Linked DNA regions of Tamandua tetradactyla. Each later gene encodes a partner of the first gene's protein in a complex. Links are inferred from orthologs where the notes say so. Each region holds a gene or a part of one and is shown in the gene's direction. Other genes may lie near its edges.

The links.
Region 2: the proteins of ITGAM (region 1) and PTN are in contact, whole or in part, in an NMR structure (PDB 8VOH), measured with the Homo sapiens proteins. The link is inferred for Tamandua tetradactyla from reciprocal best matches to the Homo sapiens genes ITGAM and PTN. Residues at the interface, in NP_000623.2 of Homo sapiens: Pro273, Asp276, Arg277, Gly279, Val280, Ile281, Arg282, Tyr283, Lys306, Pro307, Arg309, Asp310, His311, Ala334, Ile335, Glu336, Gly337, Thr338, Gln339; in NP_001308315.1 of Homo sapiens: Val56, Pro57, Thr58, Ser59, Asp61, Cys62, Gly63, Leu64, Thr66, Glu68, Thr79, Lys81, Thr82, Gln83, Arg84.

What each region holds. Positions count from the first base shown.
Region 1 is NC_135349.1:23,266,993-23,275,864, reverse strand, and holds the start of ITGAM (integrin alpha-M), read left to right. Parts: upstream 1-5,630; 5' UTR 5,631-5,699; coding exon 5,700-5,727; intron 5,728-6,884; coding exon 6,885-6,990; intron 6,991-8,872.
Region 2 is NC_135327.1:180,236,788-180,245,432, reverse strand, and holds the start of PTN (pleiotrophin), read left to right. Parts: upstream 1-4,990; 5' UTR 4,991-5,297; intron 5,298-8,645.

The sequences.
Region 1 (8,872 bases):
TCACCTCCCTTCCCTTCCTCTTACCTCTGCTACTTGATAATTTAGTTTGTTGACTCTCCTGGTTTTTCTTCCTCATTCTAGGTAAGAAGGGTAGGGAGGAGACCTGTAGGTCCCTTTGTCTGTCTGGAAGTCAGTGCTTTCCCAGAAGCCTCCCCAGGCTCTCCTTTATATCTCATTGGCCAGAACTGGTCACATGGCCACGCCTAGCTGCAAGGCAGGGTGGGAAAGGGGTATCGAGCTTTTCCAGTCTTTATTGGAGAGGGACGCAGGAGAGGGTTTGGGGTTACCTGCTAAAGGATCTGCCCCAAGAGGTAGAAATCAACCAATCTGCCTGCGTGGTTCATATGGAATATATGAAATGGTTTGAAACTTTAGTGCGTGCTACAAAAGTTGATTTAAAAATTGGATATATGTCCTGCAACCCACTTAGAGAGTCACTGGGCAATGAGTATGGGAAGTTCCAAAATGCACATCTAATTTGCCCTTGTCATTTCATCTTAAAAAAATAGTATCTGGAGGAAAGAACTCCAAAAAAGCAAAAATGCTGTATGTAGAGAATTATTCAGTGTAATATTGCCTAACATAGTAAACCACTTAAATCTCTTTACTTAATGGAATACTACATACCCATTAAAATGAAGCTATATGAAAATCTCTATGCTACAATGTTATACTAAAATGATGCAGAATGAAACCTACCCCATCATGACAAATTGATAAATGATATCAGTACAGGGCTGAAACCTGGGGGGGAGTTCAGAAAAGCTGATAAGTTATGGTGGTTGGACTGTGTGTTGTATTTTCTTTAATATTGTCATAATACTGTTTGTATAGTCAATACAACTGGGAGAAGAATGCACAATTACACTAACTTCCTAGGCCTGACTCAACCTCTCTCAGGTTCAGTGGGATCAGATACCTTAGGATGTACCTGACCCACTTTCCAGAAATGACCCGTCCCATAGAGTTGAAGAGAGATTGCTGTCCTTTGACATTTGCCTCCACCCCTAGAAGCAAAAGCATCCCCATAAAAAAGTTCATGGTTCTCCTCCACCCAACCAGTGCAACTTCCTTCCTGTCTTACTCTAGGAGTGAGTAGTTTTCTCCCTGGTCCTCACTGGGTCAGGCCCTGAGCTACTTCTGCTTTTGAGGGGTGAAGTAAGAAGAACTATTTCAGGGGCATAGCTGTCCCTGCCCTGCAAACAGCTGCTGGTCTTGAATGTGATCTTGGTAAGAATACCCATGACTCTGGTAGGGCGGTTTCTCTCACCCGCCTATATTTGAACCCCTGCTTGGACAACTGAGGAAGGAGGGTGGAACAGATTTCTAACTGAGTAACAGTGAGGCAACTTTGAGGTCGACAAACTTTTTATGTTTCACTGGACTGTGTTAACCACAACATTGGTCAACTTAAGGCACAGTAAGTAGAAAAATTATTGCAAATACGCTTTGACATCTATTATCTAATTGAGTTGTCACAACAACCCCAAGAGATGAATACTATTATTACCTGAATTTCTCAGATGAGGACTAAGGGGTTCATAGAGTAGCTATGAGGTCCAAATTCACACATTTATAAAACCAGCATTTTGAACTCTTAGTCTGACCCCAGACCTCAAAGACTTAGCCGGTTTGTTGTAGATGACAGTCAAGTGAAGGTTTTCTTGACAACCTGGTGCAACGGAAATGAATATTTTATTTGTGCTTCCCAGAAACTTCTCAGGAGGGTGGCTCCTGTGTGGCCAGTTCCGATGAATGTAGTTGGTTAAGCAAATTGGTGGAGTTTAGACAGAGCTTAATTGTCTGTGTAACCAAGGGAGAGAGATTTTCAGGGGTGGGTATGGGAGATTGTACTGAGAAAGAGAGGAGCTATGATTCTGGGTGATATTGGGGCAGCAGGAGTTGAGGGAGACCCAGCCAACCCCATTCCTTTGAGATCACACTGAATAATTGGAGGGAGAACTGACATCTTTATTATATTGTCATGTCATCTGTGAATGTGGCCTACCTCTCTATTCTTTTATGCCTTTCAGGAAAATCCAAGTTTTTAAAAATAGAGTTCTTCCATATTGCTTGCTAGATTCATGCCTAAATATTTTGTAGTATTTTTGGTGCTACAAATGGTGTCTTTCCTATTATATTTTCTGACTAGATCAGAAATAAGAATGGCAAATAAGAAATGAATTAGATTTTTATATATTGATCTCACTGAACAAGATTAGTTCTAACAAGTTGTCAGTTAACGACCTTGGATTTTCACAATAGTTGATCATACCCTCGGCAAATAATGACCTTTTTGTCCACTGAATCCCCCTCTAGGATGAAACAGAGTTATGCTTGGATGTTATTCCTTCCCATCCTGTTTTCTCTTGAGAAAGCAATGAAAGGGGTCAGAACAGTTCTTTCTCTTGAAGCAATTTCCATATGGTCCCTCACTCAGCATATCTTATCACTTTCTGCAAGTTAACTCTGATCTTCTCTTACTAATGATCAGCTTCTTCTGCTTATTTATAACTTCATTTTATGCAAGCCTTCTCCAAACTCAGATCTACAACCTGATGTTTCAGCCTCAGCTCCCACTGCTAACTGGAAATTCTTCTCAGTAGGTCTTAGTTCTTAGTCCAAATTCCCAGGGAATTTGAGTGGTTCCAACTTATCTTCCCATTTCATGTTACCTCATTCATTCAGTTAATTTTCATTATAAACCAGGCACTGTTCTGTGCACTGGAGATAGAGGAGTGAGCAAGACAGAAAAAAATTTCTGCAGTCATGGAGCTTATGAACTCTAGTAGGGGAATCAGACAATAGACAACTAAATTCATATATAATATAATTATATATTATGTATATTTTATATATTATTTATATAAATATTTTATATATTTGTATAATATAGCATAATTTCAGGTAATAATAAGTGCTATGAACAAATATCAAGGATCTGTAACAGATGCTGTAGTGGTTGCACCCATATCCCATCAGCATTTAACATTCTTGTGCAAGCTGGCCAGATTTCCAGCTGCTATTACCTGCAACTGCTTACCTGAGAACTTTCCGGCTGGAGCCTCCTCTGGCTGGCAATGCCAGAAAATCAGGGCTTCCCTAGAGAGCAGCCTTCAACCAATAGCTGATGCAAGTTGTGAATAAAAATCTAGTTCCCGTGCTTCTCAGGTGGGATAACTCTCAGACTTGCTCTACGCTGGCTGCCAGAATTCCTCAGTGAATTGAGTTTCAGTTGCCCACGCAGATAACTTGTTTCATAACCCACTTTTTATGGCCTCCTTCCCTTTTCCCTTTCCCACCAGTATTTCCTGGATCACCTCCTAAATAAATTGCTTGCATTCAAAACCTTGTCTCAGGATCCACTTATAGGCGAATCCAAGCTAAAGATGATATCAGGAGTGGAGTGGGGGCCAGGAAGGAGAGAATGAGTATCGGTGTGTAGGTGGGCTGGCCTGGTCGGGTGCCCACCATGGTCTCTGGTCACATGCACACCCACTGGGGGGTCGTTGAGAAAGAATCTGCGGGCTGGAGTTATTCTGAGACTTTGCCTGTACCTTACAGAGGGTGGGCCCTGCTTGGAATAGAGAGGGCCTGCCAGTGCTGAGCTAGAGCCGCCCCTGTGGTGGTCAGAGCGTGAAAGCTTTTGCCAAAACCAACCGTGCTTATCTCTTAGACTACGTAGCACCACACTTTGGTGTGTATTTTCTAGTGGATCTAGAATGTTCCTGTATCCTCAGCCCTTTTACCTTTTAATACAAATAGATATTTTGTTGTTTTAAATGGTTTCCTGGTAGGTTTTCTTTTTCTTCAGATTAGAAAAGTCATTCATTTTTTGTTGTGATTTAAAAGTTTTAAGTAAAAAAAAATACAGAAGAAAATTAAAATCATCCCGCGGCAGATTGGAGATGGCCACAAATCCTTTGACTTTCAATGAGAACTGCCTGGCAAGGTCAGCCAACAGACAGACCTAGACAATATAATATTAAATTGCTGTATGAGGCCAGTAAATGTTGGGGTCATTTGCTATGCTGCAAAAGATAACTGGAGCACACCTGTGGCTCTGTCATCTGCAGATAACCACTGTTAGCATTTTGGTTTTCAAACAGCTGATTTTAAAACAGATGCACAGATTTTTTTTTAACTGTTTACAGACAATCATGCGTAAAATACAGGTTTCCCAAACCCCCCACAACCACCTTGCATTACTGTGAAACATTCGTTACAATTGAGGACAGCGCATTTGTATAATTGTACTATTAATTAAAGTCTATTAACCCTATTAACTTACGGTTCCGTATTTGTGTAGTGTAGTTCCATGGATCTTAAAATTTTTTAAAAATTCTGTTGTTATATTTCCCTTGGGAAAATGTTAGATTGTATATATGACAACAATGTTGTGCTACCATCACCTAAACATTTCCATCATTCCAAATAGGAACCCTGTACATTTTAAGCCATAACTTCCCATTACCTTTTCCCACCCTGTCCCCTGGTAACCTAAATCCTAGATTCTGACTCTTTAAGTTTACTTATTCTAATTGTTTCAGCTCAGTGAGATCATACACTATTTATCCTTTGTATCTGGCTTATTTCATTTCACATGATGTCGTCAAGGTTCAGCTATGCTTTCACATGTATCAGGACTTCATTCCTCTTTACAGCTGTATAATATTCCATTGTATATATATATATACACCATGTTTTATTTATCCATAACACACAGAATTTTTATGGGCTTTTATTTTTTTCCATCAGCAAACATTTGTTTCTATTTGAATATTGGGAAAATAGAACTAGGGACAAAGGAAAAGTTATGAGAGAAAGAATAGAGAAGTTATCTGCTTGAGAATCACATATGGTCATACACAAGATATGGTTTGGTGTTCTATATATTTCATAGAATTTCATATTGCAAGTATCTTTCCATGTCTTTGAAAACAGATTTACAAGTGACTGCACTCCATGGAATGGGACTCCCAACAGAGTGGGACATTATTTAACCACTCCCCTGTTGCTGGATATTTAGGCTGTTAGTAGTTTCTCACTGTAATAAACAATGCTGCTGCACCCAAGTTTGTACATATATCTTGGACTGCACTTCTGAGTTATTCCTTGGGGTAAAAACTTGAAGGGGAAAATTCTTGGGCAAAGGGTTTCAGCATTTTAAAGCTTTTTCTTTCTTAAAGCAAAATATCCAAAAGGCACTGGGTTTTTTTGGTTTGGTTTTTTGGGCACTGGATTTTTCTGCTCCTGAATTGTCCTTGTTGATGGCTACAGAGGAAGACAATTCTGGCTGAAGGATGCCGGTGCTTCTGTGGGCTAGAGGAGGGACATGTTACAAAGTTTGCTTGGATTGTTTAGAACATATGTTCCAGGAGGCATCCTCCAAGTCCATCCAGCTTGCTTTTCACAATGCTTTGGCCAATGTCAGAAGTAGGTGGGCAACACATGACACCTTCTTGATAGGGATTTTGATGGTTTCAGCCAGGAAGCTGGGCAGGAAGGGAGAAGGCTGCGCACAGTCCCAGGAGGAAGGTCAAGCAGGGCTGTGTGTTCACTGAGTCCCGCCCTCTTCCTTTGGGTCTCTAATCAAACTTCTGCCTTCTACTTCTCACTTTCCACCCTTCCTGGCTTTGGTGACTTCCTTGAGATAGCTCAGTGGTACCCAAGCTCAGCGGTTCCTGCTCCTTCCAGCCATGACTCGAAGAGTTCTACTGTTGACAGGTGCCTGAGGGGGCTGAGGAGGCTCTTAGGGTGGGGAGGAAGTTGACTTTTGGGTCTGTGAGTGGAGATAGAGGGCACAGAATATCTAGGGGTTAGACTGGGGGTGGGAACAAATGGAACTTGGGGAAAGATAAAGGGTTTAAGAAGCAGAGTGCTGCTAGTTCAAGATGAGCTGTCCAGAGAAGAGCATGGACAAATGACTAAATCTGTAGCCTGGGCAAGGAGGTTTGATGGTTTCCTTCACTTTATGGATGAGGAAACTGAAGCCCAGAGAGGTGATGTGACTTGCCCAAGTGCACGCAGCTGGTATGGGACTCCTCTCCCAGAGCATTTCCTCTTGGACTCCACCTTCCATCCCTACTTTGCCTCCAGTCCTATTTTCCAGGTGTCAATGTTTGTTAAGTGACTGATAGATCAAAATGATTTGAATTTGTTGTCTTTTAAGCCTGTTTTGCTGAGAATGAGCTGAAGGAGGGAAGGAAATTCTTGAGAGTTATGTAGGAAGGAAATTACCCAACAGAACGTTTATAGAAACTTGATTGTTGGGCAAATCAGTGGTGTGGGGGCGCTGTGAGAAAGGGTGATTTGTGAGTTCAACAAGGAGGGTGAAGCGCAGAGAGCGGCTCATTGTGTCCCTTCATGATGACCCAAGTAGACCTCAGGCCAGGGGTTGGCAAACTATCCTTGTGCAATCTGTGAGCTAATATCAGCTTTTAAGATGAACATTGGTAATTGATTTGATGATAGGGAATGCTAACTTTGCACCCCAATTAAGCAAAATGTTATCCCCCCCAAAGAATTCTATTTGTTTCATTAGTAGACCTTCAGGGTCAAAAAATTATACTAAATTATTATTATGATATTTTGAATTTCCTCAATTAAAATTTTTGTGGCAATGGGTTTTCTCTCTTGTTATATACATATATGTAATATACCCTATTTTGACTCTTATCCATCAAAGCCTAAAATATCTGCTATCTGGGCCTTTACGGAAATGTGTGGTCACCCCTGTCTCAGGTTATCAGTGCTGGACCTGGGAGGCAAGACATTTGAGTAGGGGGCACCCAGGAGGAAGTTGCTTGGAGCAGGACGGGACTCTGCTTGCTTTGTTGTTCCCTTTACTCCCGCTGACCCTCACCCCCTTGTTCTCCCTCCAGCCCTGTCCTTGTGTCATGGGTTCAACCTGGACACTGAAAACTCAAAGATCTTCCAAATCAACGCAAGGGGCTTTGGGCAGAGCGTGGTCCAGTTTGAGGGATCCCGGTAAGAGCCTCAGGTGGAGTTTCCTGCCTCCTGTGCGTTCCCTCCAAATACCTGAAAAAAAAAAAAAGACAATTTCCTTGATATATATTTTTATTGTGAAATATAACAGATACACAAAGAAAAGAAAGAAACGGCAATAATTTTCAAAGTAGACATCAACAGGCAGCTACAGAACAGAACAGATTTCAAAGTTTGTTACGGGTCCGTTCCAACTATTTCAGGTTTTCCCTTCTAGCTGGCTCCAAAACTCTGGAGGCTAGAAGGAGTATTAATAGAGTGATTCAACAGTCATACTCGTTTATTAAATCCTGTTTTGTCTGTTATAGCTCCTCCTTCTCCTTTGATTCTTCTCTCAATCGATAGGGATCTTTAGGCAGTGCCTCTTCTGACTTTTTCATGTTGAGAAAGGGTATTGACACCAAAGAATAGGGGGGGTGTAATTAGCTGATAATCTTGGAGAGGCTGGTCCCTCTGGGTTTCGGGATTTATCTGACCTTGGAACCCTTTGGAAATTATAGGTTCCAGAAAAGCAAACAGTGCCTGAAACTATTAGAGAAACTCAGTTTGAGCCCTAGGTGTTCTTAAGAGTTAAAGGGAGTGATATTGGTTGGGGTTTAGCAAACCATGGCAATTAGCATTATCTAACTGAAGCTTGCATAGGAGCAGCCTCCAGAATAGCCTCTTGACTCTATTTGATCTCTCTTAGCCACTGATGCCTTGTTTTACTACAATTTTACTGGTTTTGTTCAGGAAGGGGTTGTCGATCCCAAGATGCCAGGGCCAGACTCATCCCGGGGTGTCACGCCCCAAGTTGTCAGGGAGACTTTCACCCCTGAATGTCATGTGCTAGTAGCGGAGAGGGTAATCATTTTCCTTGCAGAGTTGGGCTAAGAGAGAGAGAAGCCACATCTGAGCAATGAAAATATTTTTTGAATTTTAAGTTGTAGGTTCTAAATTCAAAAGATACAAAAAGGTGTAACAGTAAAAAGTCTCTTCCTCATTCCTTTCATTCAAGTCTCTTCCCAGGAAAGAACCACAAGATAAATGGTTTCTTGTGTATAGCACATTGTGTATAGCACACGTTACACCTTATACCAGAGACTGGCCAAACCACAACTTGTGGTCTCTGTCTGGTTGTAAGTTTTATTGAGCTGAGACTGTATGTCCTGTAAAGTATAAATTATTTACTATCTAAACTTAACAGAAGTTTGCAGACATCTGCTTATACTGTCCCTTGCTTCCGCCCCCCTTTCTTAATATAGTTTGGTGATTTTACCAAATAAGTACATAAAGAACCTCATTCTTTCTTATGCTTGCATTGTGTTTCTATTATATAGAGATACTGTGATTTACATTTATAGTACATTAAATCTCTTCTTATTGTGCATGTAGATTATTTCCAAACTTTGCTATACAAACAAAGCTGTCACTATGCCTTGTTTATGTGCAAGTATATTTGGAAATAAATTCCTAGAAGTGGATTGCTGGATCAAAGAGTACACGTGCAGATTGCACATAATTTTAATAGATTTTTCCAGATTAGCTTCCATAGAGGTGACCTCAACTTACATTTACAGCAGAAATTTATGAAAATACCTACTTCCCTAGCCATTTGGTAGCCCAATGGGTTATCAATATCATGGACTTTTTCAAATTTGATAAGTGTGAAATGGTATCCTAATTAGTTTCAAATTGCATTTCTCTTTTTATGAGTGATATATTGCGTTTCCTTCTCTGTGAACACTTTTTCTCATCTGCTGCTCATTTTTCTATTAAACTATTGTTTTGTTTTACTTATTGGTTTCTAAGAGCTTTGGCTGTTTTTGCAAGGTAGTCGGTGCGTGAGTTGCTCATCTCCCTTGCCCAGCTTATCATTTGTCTT
Region 2 (8,645 bases), on another chromosome or scaffold:
TGATTTTAAAATGTTAAACCAAATTTGCATTCTTGGGATAGATATCATCCATCATGATGTATTATGTTCTTTCTAAATTGCTGATTTTGTTTGATAATATTTGTTAAGGACTTTGGCATCCATGTCCCTGAGGATCTGTAGTTTTGTTTCCTTGTGATCTCTGACCAAGGATATTTCAAGTCTGATTATCTGGGATGAGTGAGCCTGGGTGAAACCATTGTCTAAGGTCTGTTTCTCAGCTCTGCCAATTTAGAACATTGATCTTATCAGTTCTTTACTGGAAGGCAAGTTTAAGGAGCTTAAATCAAGTTACTTAGATTATTCAGAGACTGATGAACTGCAAATGTATTAAATTACAGGGAGAAATTTTAGCAGGCATTGTTCATTGTTTCCCAGATCCTTTCCACCTCTTCCTTTTTCTAGTATAATTTTATTTGGCTACCTGACTAGGGAAGCAAACCTATACTCTACTAGAGTTTGGCCTTGTTTACTGTAATCGAATATGCCTGAAGTTTCTTGTAACCATCCCAAGGAGTCCTAGATCAAAAACTGAAATGCAAAGTTAAAAGATGGAAAGACCTACGTCCTTGAAGACTGAAATACAGACTTCATCCACCTATATTTTAAGTGAGATAAATTCCTGACTTATTTAAACTAGTTTTAGTTGTTTTTTTATTTCCAATCAAAAAACAGCATACATATTACAAAAATATAGCTAAGAGAGAAGTAGGTTTTATAATCTGGTCACAGCAAAGTTATTAAATTTGAAATATTTCAGGGAGAGAAAGAGAAATGAATTAATGAGAATATTATCAAACTATGATAGCTTGATGAATTGCCCTTTTGCATTCTAGGGATATTGAAGAACCCAGAGCGATAATCAAGAATCTGAATTTTCTGCCAAGCAGGCAATCCAAGAGACACAATGACAAATTTTTCAACATGTTTCTTAACATTTTTTTAACTTCATGCTGATCACACTTCTCCTTGTATTTGTCACCGTAAAATTAGCAGCCTCATTTTCAACACAGCCTTAGGACATGTTATAATTTCTATGATTTTGAATCATCTTATATTAGTTATATTTTAGTCTGGAAACTCTTATGCAAGGGCCTCATTAATTGTACCTGGAAAGACCAAGCATTAGGAAGCCAAAATAACTTCTGACAGGAAATTTTGGGGACAGAGAAAATGTTAACGGGTAAACTATAGGAACAAGGGGAAGATATTTGGACAAGGCATGATTGCAACAGTCTCCCAGCTAGGATCTGTGCTTTCACCCTTGACCTCATGTGCTCTACTCTCAACACATCAGAGACTTTGTGAAATGGAGTCAGGCTTTTTTAATCCTCTACCCAAAGCCCCCATTTCAATCAGAAAAAATGTATATTTCTTACAGTGGCCAAAGGCTGAGCATGATCTGGTCTGTCAACTCCCCAACCTCACCTTCTCCCAAACTCCTCCTCAGCCATTGGATTCCAGCTACAATGGTCTCCTTACAGTTTCTCTAAGACACCAGGCAAGGTCTGGACTCAAGGCCTTTACATTCACTGATCCTGCAGTCTAGAGACTCTTCTCCCAAATACTTGCTTGGCTTGTCACCTCAACTTTTGTAAGCCTTCACTCCAATTTCACCCCAGGGAGTCTTTCCTCCCCCAAATCTGCATTTTTATTTAATTCTTATTTAATCTTCAGTATCTTATTTTTTCCGTGAAGCATATCACATCTTTAATGTACACTACAAAGATAAACCTTAAAGACATCATGTTGAGTGAAATAAGGCAGACACAAAAGGACAAATATTGTATGGTCTCGTTGATTTGAAACAAAATAAGCAAACTCATAGACTGTAGGTTACCAGGAGACAAGGTGGGAATAGGGAATGAGAAGCCAGGACTTAAAATATACGTGGTTCCTATTTGGAATGATGGAAATATTTTAGTAACAGATGGTGGTGATGGTAGCACAATATTGTGAAGACAACTAACAACACTAAAATATATATCTGAATATTATTTAAAGGAGAAATGTTAGAATGTACATATGGTAACAGAATTATAAAAACAAACAAACATGGAACTACACTACACAAGTTAACCCATGGACTTTATTTAGTAGTACAATTATAAAAATGTGCTATCATTAATTGTAACAAATGTTCCACACTGATGCAAGGTGTTGGTGATGGTACAGTATATGGAAATTCTATATTTTATCCACAATTGTTCTGTAAACCCACAACTTCTCTAATAAAGAAAACAATGAAAAAAAGTAAGTTATATGAAACAAGTAATTTTTTAGTTTTTTTTATTCATGAGTCTTACCAATGCACAAAAATGTAATAAGTGCTCAAAGAATGTTGGTGAAATGACTGAACAACTTGAAATCTTAAAACAAAAGAGCCGTGACTATGGAATAGAATGAAGTGTGGATTTGAGATTGAACATTCAGAGGGCATTTAAATTAATGCTCTACTTAAATTCTCCATAAACCATGGATTGAATGAAATTAGTATTAATCTCAATTTTACAGATTTCTATTTCTTTCAAAAAACAACTCTTGAATCTTTCTTTACATTTTTAAAATTCAGTGATTAATAACATTAGTTAGGGTTTCTCAATCTCAACCCTATTAATATCTTGGGTCAAATAATTCTCTGTTACTTGTAGGATATTTGGTAGCACCTCTAGCCTGTGCATACTAGTAGCACCTCCCCACCAAGTTGCAGCTGTGACAATCAAAAATGTCTCCAACCTTTGCCAAATGTCTCCTGGAGGGCAAACATACCAAGTGAAAATCAATGATGTAAATAAATTTTATGATACCTATTTGAATAGAGGTATATTTTGATAGAATACATATAATTGAGCAGAAGGCTTTGGGAATCTCATACTTACTTTATCAGCCCTATAGGGAACACCACAATAAAGCTAACATTGTTCACCTGGTAGCAACAGGTTATCTTTGTAGATGCTCAGAAAAAGTTTAAGAAGTAAAAGGAAATAGACAACCCTCTGTTTAATGGCCTGGAAACTCCACCTCTAGGGACTGACAGGAAATGTTGAGAAGTCCTTTTAAGGAAGGACCTGGAAAAAGTATTAAAAAATAACAATGTGATTCTTCCACAATTTAATTTAATGAAATTACATTAAAGCAAGCATTGCTTGCTTCATCAGGAAAATGGAATCACAAAAGGAAAATAGGCAACCTGAAAACTGTGTATAGAGGAAAGCAGTTAGTTCCTTATTTATTTCATTTGAAGATAGGGTGGGCTGTATTAAGGTTCTCCAGAGAAGCAGAATAAGTTTATCATAGGAATTGGTCATGCAACTATAGAGATTAGCAAGTCTGTATTTTGCAGGTCAAGATGCAAGTTGGAAACTCCAATGAATGTGAAACTGAATTCCCTAGAGGAAGCTAGCTGGTTGAAGTAGAGGTAGACATTCCTTTTAACTTCTGAAATCTCAGTTCTGGCTTTTAAGACCTTCAACTGATTGGATGAGGAGCCTCCCTTGTTGCTGAAAGTTATCTCTTTTGTTGCTTGTAGATGCAGTCAGAGTTAGATGCAATTAACTGACAACAGATGCTAACTCATCTATCAAATACCGTCACAACAACAATCAGGCCAGTGCTTGCTTGACAAAACAACTGGATACCATGACCCAGACACGTTGACATTTGACGTTAACAATCACAAGAGTATATTTGGAGAAGTTGGTTATGGAGATAGACTGGAGGCGTGCAAATGAATTGCTTATCCTTCTCTTAAAAAGACAAAAAAAAGCTTCACTTATTTACTTATTAAAAATTCTACCCAGACAGCTACTCTATGAGGCACTCATCCAGATAACCAGTCAATATAAAGGCTCAGGAGTCCCTAAAAACTACTTGCTACAAAACAATTCTTCAAATTTGGGGGGTTTAAGAATGATTCTAAGTGTTTAAGAGTTAAATGAGGTACATAATACATATTTTTGAAATTGACTTAAGGAGATGTAATCTCTGATCTATGGGAAATGGAAGGATATTTTACAACTGCATTTGGGGTGTACACCATCAAACGGTAAACTGAAGGATGTGAAAATGTGATGCAAGAAGCAGGAAGCAACAACTGATGAATGGAAGAAAAATTGCCCTTTTTATATTTTGAGAATGTTTGTGTAAATTTGTTTTATAATTCTTAAGCATTTTACACAATATCTCATTTTTATCACATTCATTTTTTGTATCACTAAAACAATTCTAGATTAATCACCTTAGAATCTTCCTTTAACTGAAGGAGATGGGAATTCCAGAGAGCCATGAAACCCAGGCTCTGAGTTAGACAAACCACAGAGTTTGAGTTACATTGATTAATCCCTAATGTCTGGGTGTCAAAGGCATGTCCCTAAATAGGTCAGTAAAGGTACCAAGCAATTCAAAAGGAGAAAGAGTCCCCTAAAGGAAAGTGACACTTAATTGGGAATTTTCAGGCATCTGCCATTCTTTGTGACAAGCACAGAAAAGTACCTTGCACATTTTGTGACATGCAGGTGAGTGAACATGTAATGGGACTGACATTCGAGGAAACTAGGACTTGTTACACGTGTAGGAAGGGAATCTGCAGAAATGAAAAGCCAGGATTTTAAGAGTGCGCATTTTCATCCTCCAAATCATTTGCTTCTAAAGGGGCCAATATTGTAACTTGAAATGCCATCGATTTTATACTCAAGACAGCCTACTCTGTAAACTGGGGTATCTACTCCTCCAAAAAAAATAGCTAATGCTTGAAGTTTAGAAAAGAAATACGGGGTGCATTTTCTTTGCTAACAAAAACAAAACAAAACAATGTTACATCTCATCACCTATTCCTTCAAATCCGCTTTCTTGCTCGTGTAGGGGAGAGACGGCCCCTGGAGTATTCTCCTTTTAATAAACTCCCAATCAGCTCTCAACCGCGCTCTCCCTCCCTAGCCCGGCCCGCGTAATCTCTGCCCGTCCCTCTCATCCCTCCCATTCTCCATTTCCTTTCCGTTCACTCCCTGTCAGGGAGTACTTGAGTCCAAGGCAGGATCAGGTTCCCCGCCTTCCAGTCCAAAAATCCCGCCAAGGGAGTTCCAGAACGGAGGAAAATCCAAAGTGGGGAGAGGAGAAAAGAAAAAGAGAGAGACCAGTGAGTCAGTAGTCCAGCAGCGAGCGAAGGCAGCAGCAGCCGGCGGGAGCAGCAGCGAGTCCCGTACCTGGACTCCGGGAGCGGAAAACCTCGCCCCTTCCAACAAAGGCAGCCTGAGCGCGGGAGAGAACATTTGCAACTCAAAGTAAGTGAAAGGGAATGTGCGATTTTTTTTTTTTTTTTTTTTTTTTTGTGGCGTCTTGGAGTTCATTTTCTCTTCACCCCTGCCCACTTTTCTGAGCGTCGCCAGATTATGGTGGTAGATGGGAGAGGGGCTACCTGGTGTCTTTGCTAAAATTGCTTTCTAAACTGAACCGGATGCACAGGCAAATTAAAGCAAATTTGGGGGATTTAGGTCAGGATAGTTAGGGTACATTTAGATGAGTGGCAAGAAAGAAGCTTTTGTAATGTTTTGCATTCATTTGGGCGGTGTTTCTGCTAGCAGCTGTAGAATATGCCAGGGTGGGTTGGAGGAATGCTTTTTGGCTCTTTGCAAAACCTAATGCTTTAGTAGGTGTGTCTGTGGCTGGATAGAGAAGAGAGGCGGCCTGAGCAGGCGGGTCTCATTTTTCATTCTTTTCTGCTTCTGATTGCCCCTGGGGCTTGCCAACTGATGATTCTTAGCTGGCATTTCTAGGTAGGGTGTGAGGACCTCCCAGTGCCAGCTGAACTGAGCACTGTGCGCCCTGCCTGCCAGCCCAGAAAGGGTGCTAGGAATAGGTAAGTCCTAGGTTTAAATGAGCCACCTTGAATCCCATCCCTCATTTCAATGTTAACTTTAATAACTGCAGGGCACAGACACTTGAACTTTCTATTTCACCCACATGGACCTAGGATACATTTATTCCTAATTTGCCAGATACTTACAGCTTCTATCAGAGATGATGCTTCTAATAAGCCAAAATTACTTAAAATAGAGGAGTGTGTTCAACGTCTTCTCTACTGAACACATCGAATACAGAGCTTTCTTTCCTTAACGTGCTCACATGCTTTCTCCTTAACACACCACACACACACACACGCACACACACACACACACACACACAGAGTTTATATACATTCTTTTGTTCATTCACTCCTATCTCTGTTAACAGCTTCTTTGTAACTTTGAGGATATCTTGAGAATATAGGAGTGGAATCAGGAAGAGAAGTGGGAGAGGAGAATGAAGAATTTGAGGGAAACAAAATTCTAGCCTTTCAGCATTTCATTTTAAGGGTCATCTAGACATTTTGCTTAAGGAGCTTAAGAAAGATGTGGAGTGTATGCGTGTGCATGTGCATGGTTGCACACGCATGCGTGTGTGTGTGTGTGCTGGAGGGTAGGGTAGGGAGGAGATCAAGAAACTACCAAGGAGCTCTTTTGAACTAATAACATAATGAACCAGTTTTGTGATCCTAGGCAAATGTGGACTTGACGAAATAGTACAACCAATTTTTGTCCCTTGATCATCTGAGGACATGTTGATATGTGTAAGTATTAAAAGGCAAATGGAGTGAAACAAAAGAGAAGTTTCACAATGTGGATAATGAAGCTTTTATATTTCATCTTTAGTATGCTCCTTCTAAAGCAAATTATGCCCTTTAAAGACCAAATCATTAAAAACACTCACAATCCTGTTAGTTTGAAGGAAAATAGAGTGGACATGATCTCTTTTCCCTCTCCCTTTGGCATGAGTTATCTCAGAATAGCAATATTTGTACTTTCTCAGTTAAATAAGATGATAATTTTTTTAAGATTAAGCAACTAATGCTATTCTTTTGAGAATTTTTGTACTTGAAGAGATATCTTGCTGTTCTTTAACCATTTGGAAGGCAATTTTTTCCTTTTCCACTGTTCACAGATCCCATTTAGCACTTTCTTTTCCTGATTTAGTGGAAGGCTTCTATGAGGGATACCCACTTAAAGCCATTTGTAACGGCATTAGGTACTGTGTTCCAGCTGTTTGCTTGGGGAAACAAACGCATTATTTTCTCAGTAGTAGGAAATGAAATTATTGTTATCATATGACTTCTATGAGCTGAATTTAATGTGATGTACTTAGACAATCTGGATAATATAATAAATGTATATAAATATATACATTTTATAGTACAATCTAAAATGTAATTGTGTGATTACTTAGACCTCTTCCCAGGAGATTTGGATCTATTAATTTACTGAAAGTTTTCATGTACCTTATTCCATCTTCACATGTAGCAACATGTAGCAGGACTCTTGCAAATTATGGACACTTAAAAATATATATATATGTATATATTAACTCTAGTAATGCCAGTGCCTGATTTGAATTTTCAGAAAACCTGATCATTGGAAATGGTCTAAAAACGAAATAAGGTCCCCAAATATTTTAACCATTTCCAAGAATCAAATCAACTTTAGAAATTAAATATTGTAATTAAATATTCTCTCTTTGGCGAATCTACTGCTTTTTCATTTAAATGTCATTCTCACATGAATTCTGGTCATAGTCTGATTTGTGGTGTGATGCTTTCATTACTACTCAGATTTTCCCAGGAAACGGAAGTTAGCCAGTTTGTTCAAATGGGTGCAATAAATTAATGGTAGATTGAGGACCAGAATTCAGAATTTAGAATATAAATTCCAGTTCTCTATAAACTTATGCTTCTTAACTTGGTGGCATGGGAATAAGGGGAGTTATCATTGCCCTATGTCCTGAAGATAATGTCCAAGTTGAGGACACTTTCAGTGATCTAAGACTAAATGGGTTCGGTTTCTAGATCGCCAGAGCACACTTCAACCCAGTTTAAACTCTGGTTGGCTCCAGATCACCAGACCAGGGTTTCAGTTCTCTGAATACTTTGGCTCCATTGTTTTGATGGTGATGCCTTCTCTATAAGGGTGAGAAATGTTTTCTCCTCTGGATGCTATTCTCATGATTAATTAGAAGTGCTTTTGTCTCCTCTTGGCACAATGCCATGTAATTGCCTTTAAGGGTAAAATAATATTCAGATACAGGCCTTCTTTTCTTGAACTGGGCCGACTTTTATTCCATCCACAGTCAATGGGCTTGATGAGAGTTTGGGCTATGGCATCACCTTTGAGAGTTATTCTCATATTTTGATGTTTATGGTTAATTCAAGTTTCTACCCTCTGGGCCATTTTTCCATCTATTTAATGATAGTTCTATATGTGGTACAGTTTCCATGGTATCATCACAATCTTCCTAGGTTATAAAATACAGCTTTTTTTTTTAGTATTTAGTAACTAAGAAGTTAAAGGCCCTCTGGTTTCAAAGGGTAGCGGCACTAAGCCATCATTACAGGGTATTATAATTGTGTTAATAATGTGGGTCTGATTACAAAGATCACATTCACTTCTTCTTTTTTTTTTTTCAGTTTCTTCCACTGAGCTTTATTTTTTGAGCCACTTTTTTCACAGAGGTTTTAGATAAAGTGGTATTTCAAATAAAGACTATCATAACGAATTTCCTAAAAGCAAATTACTTCGATTCCTAAACTCCAAATATAGCAA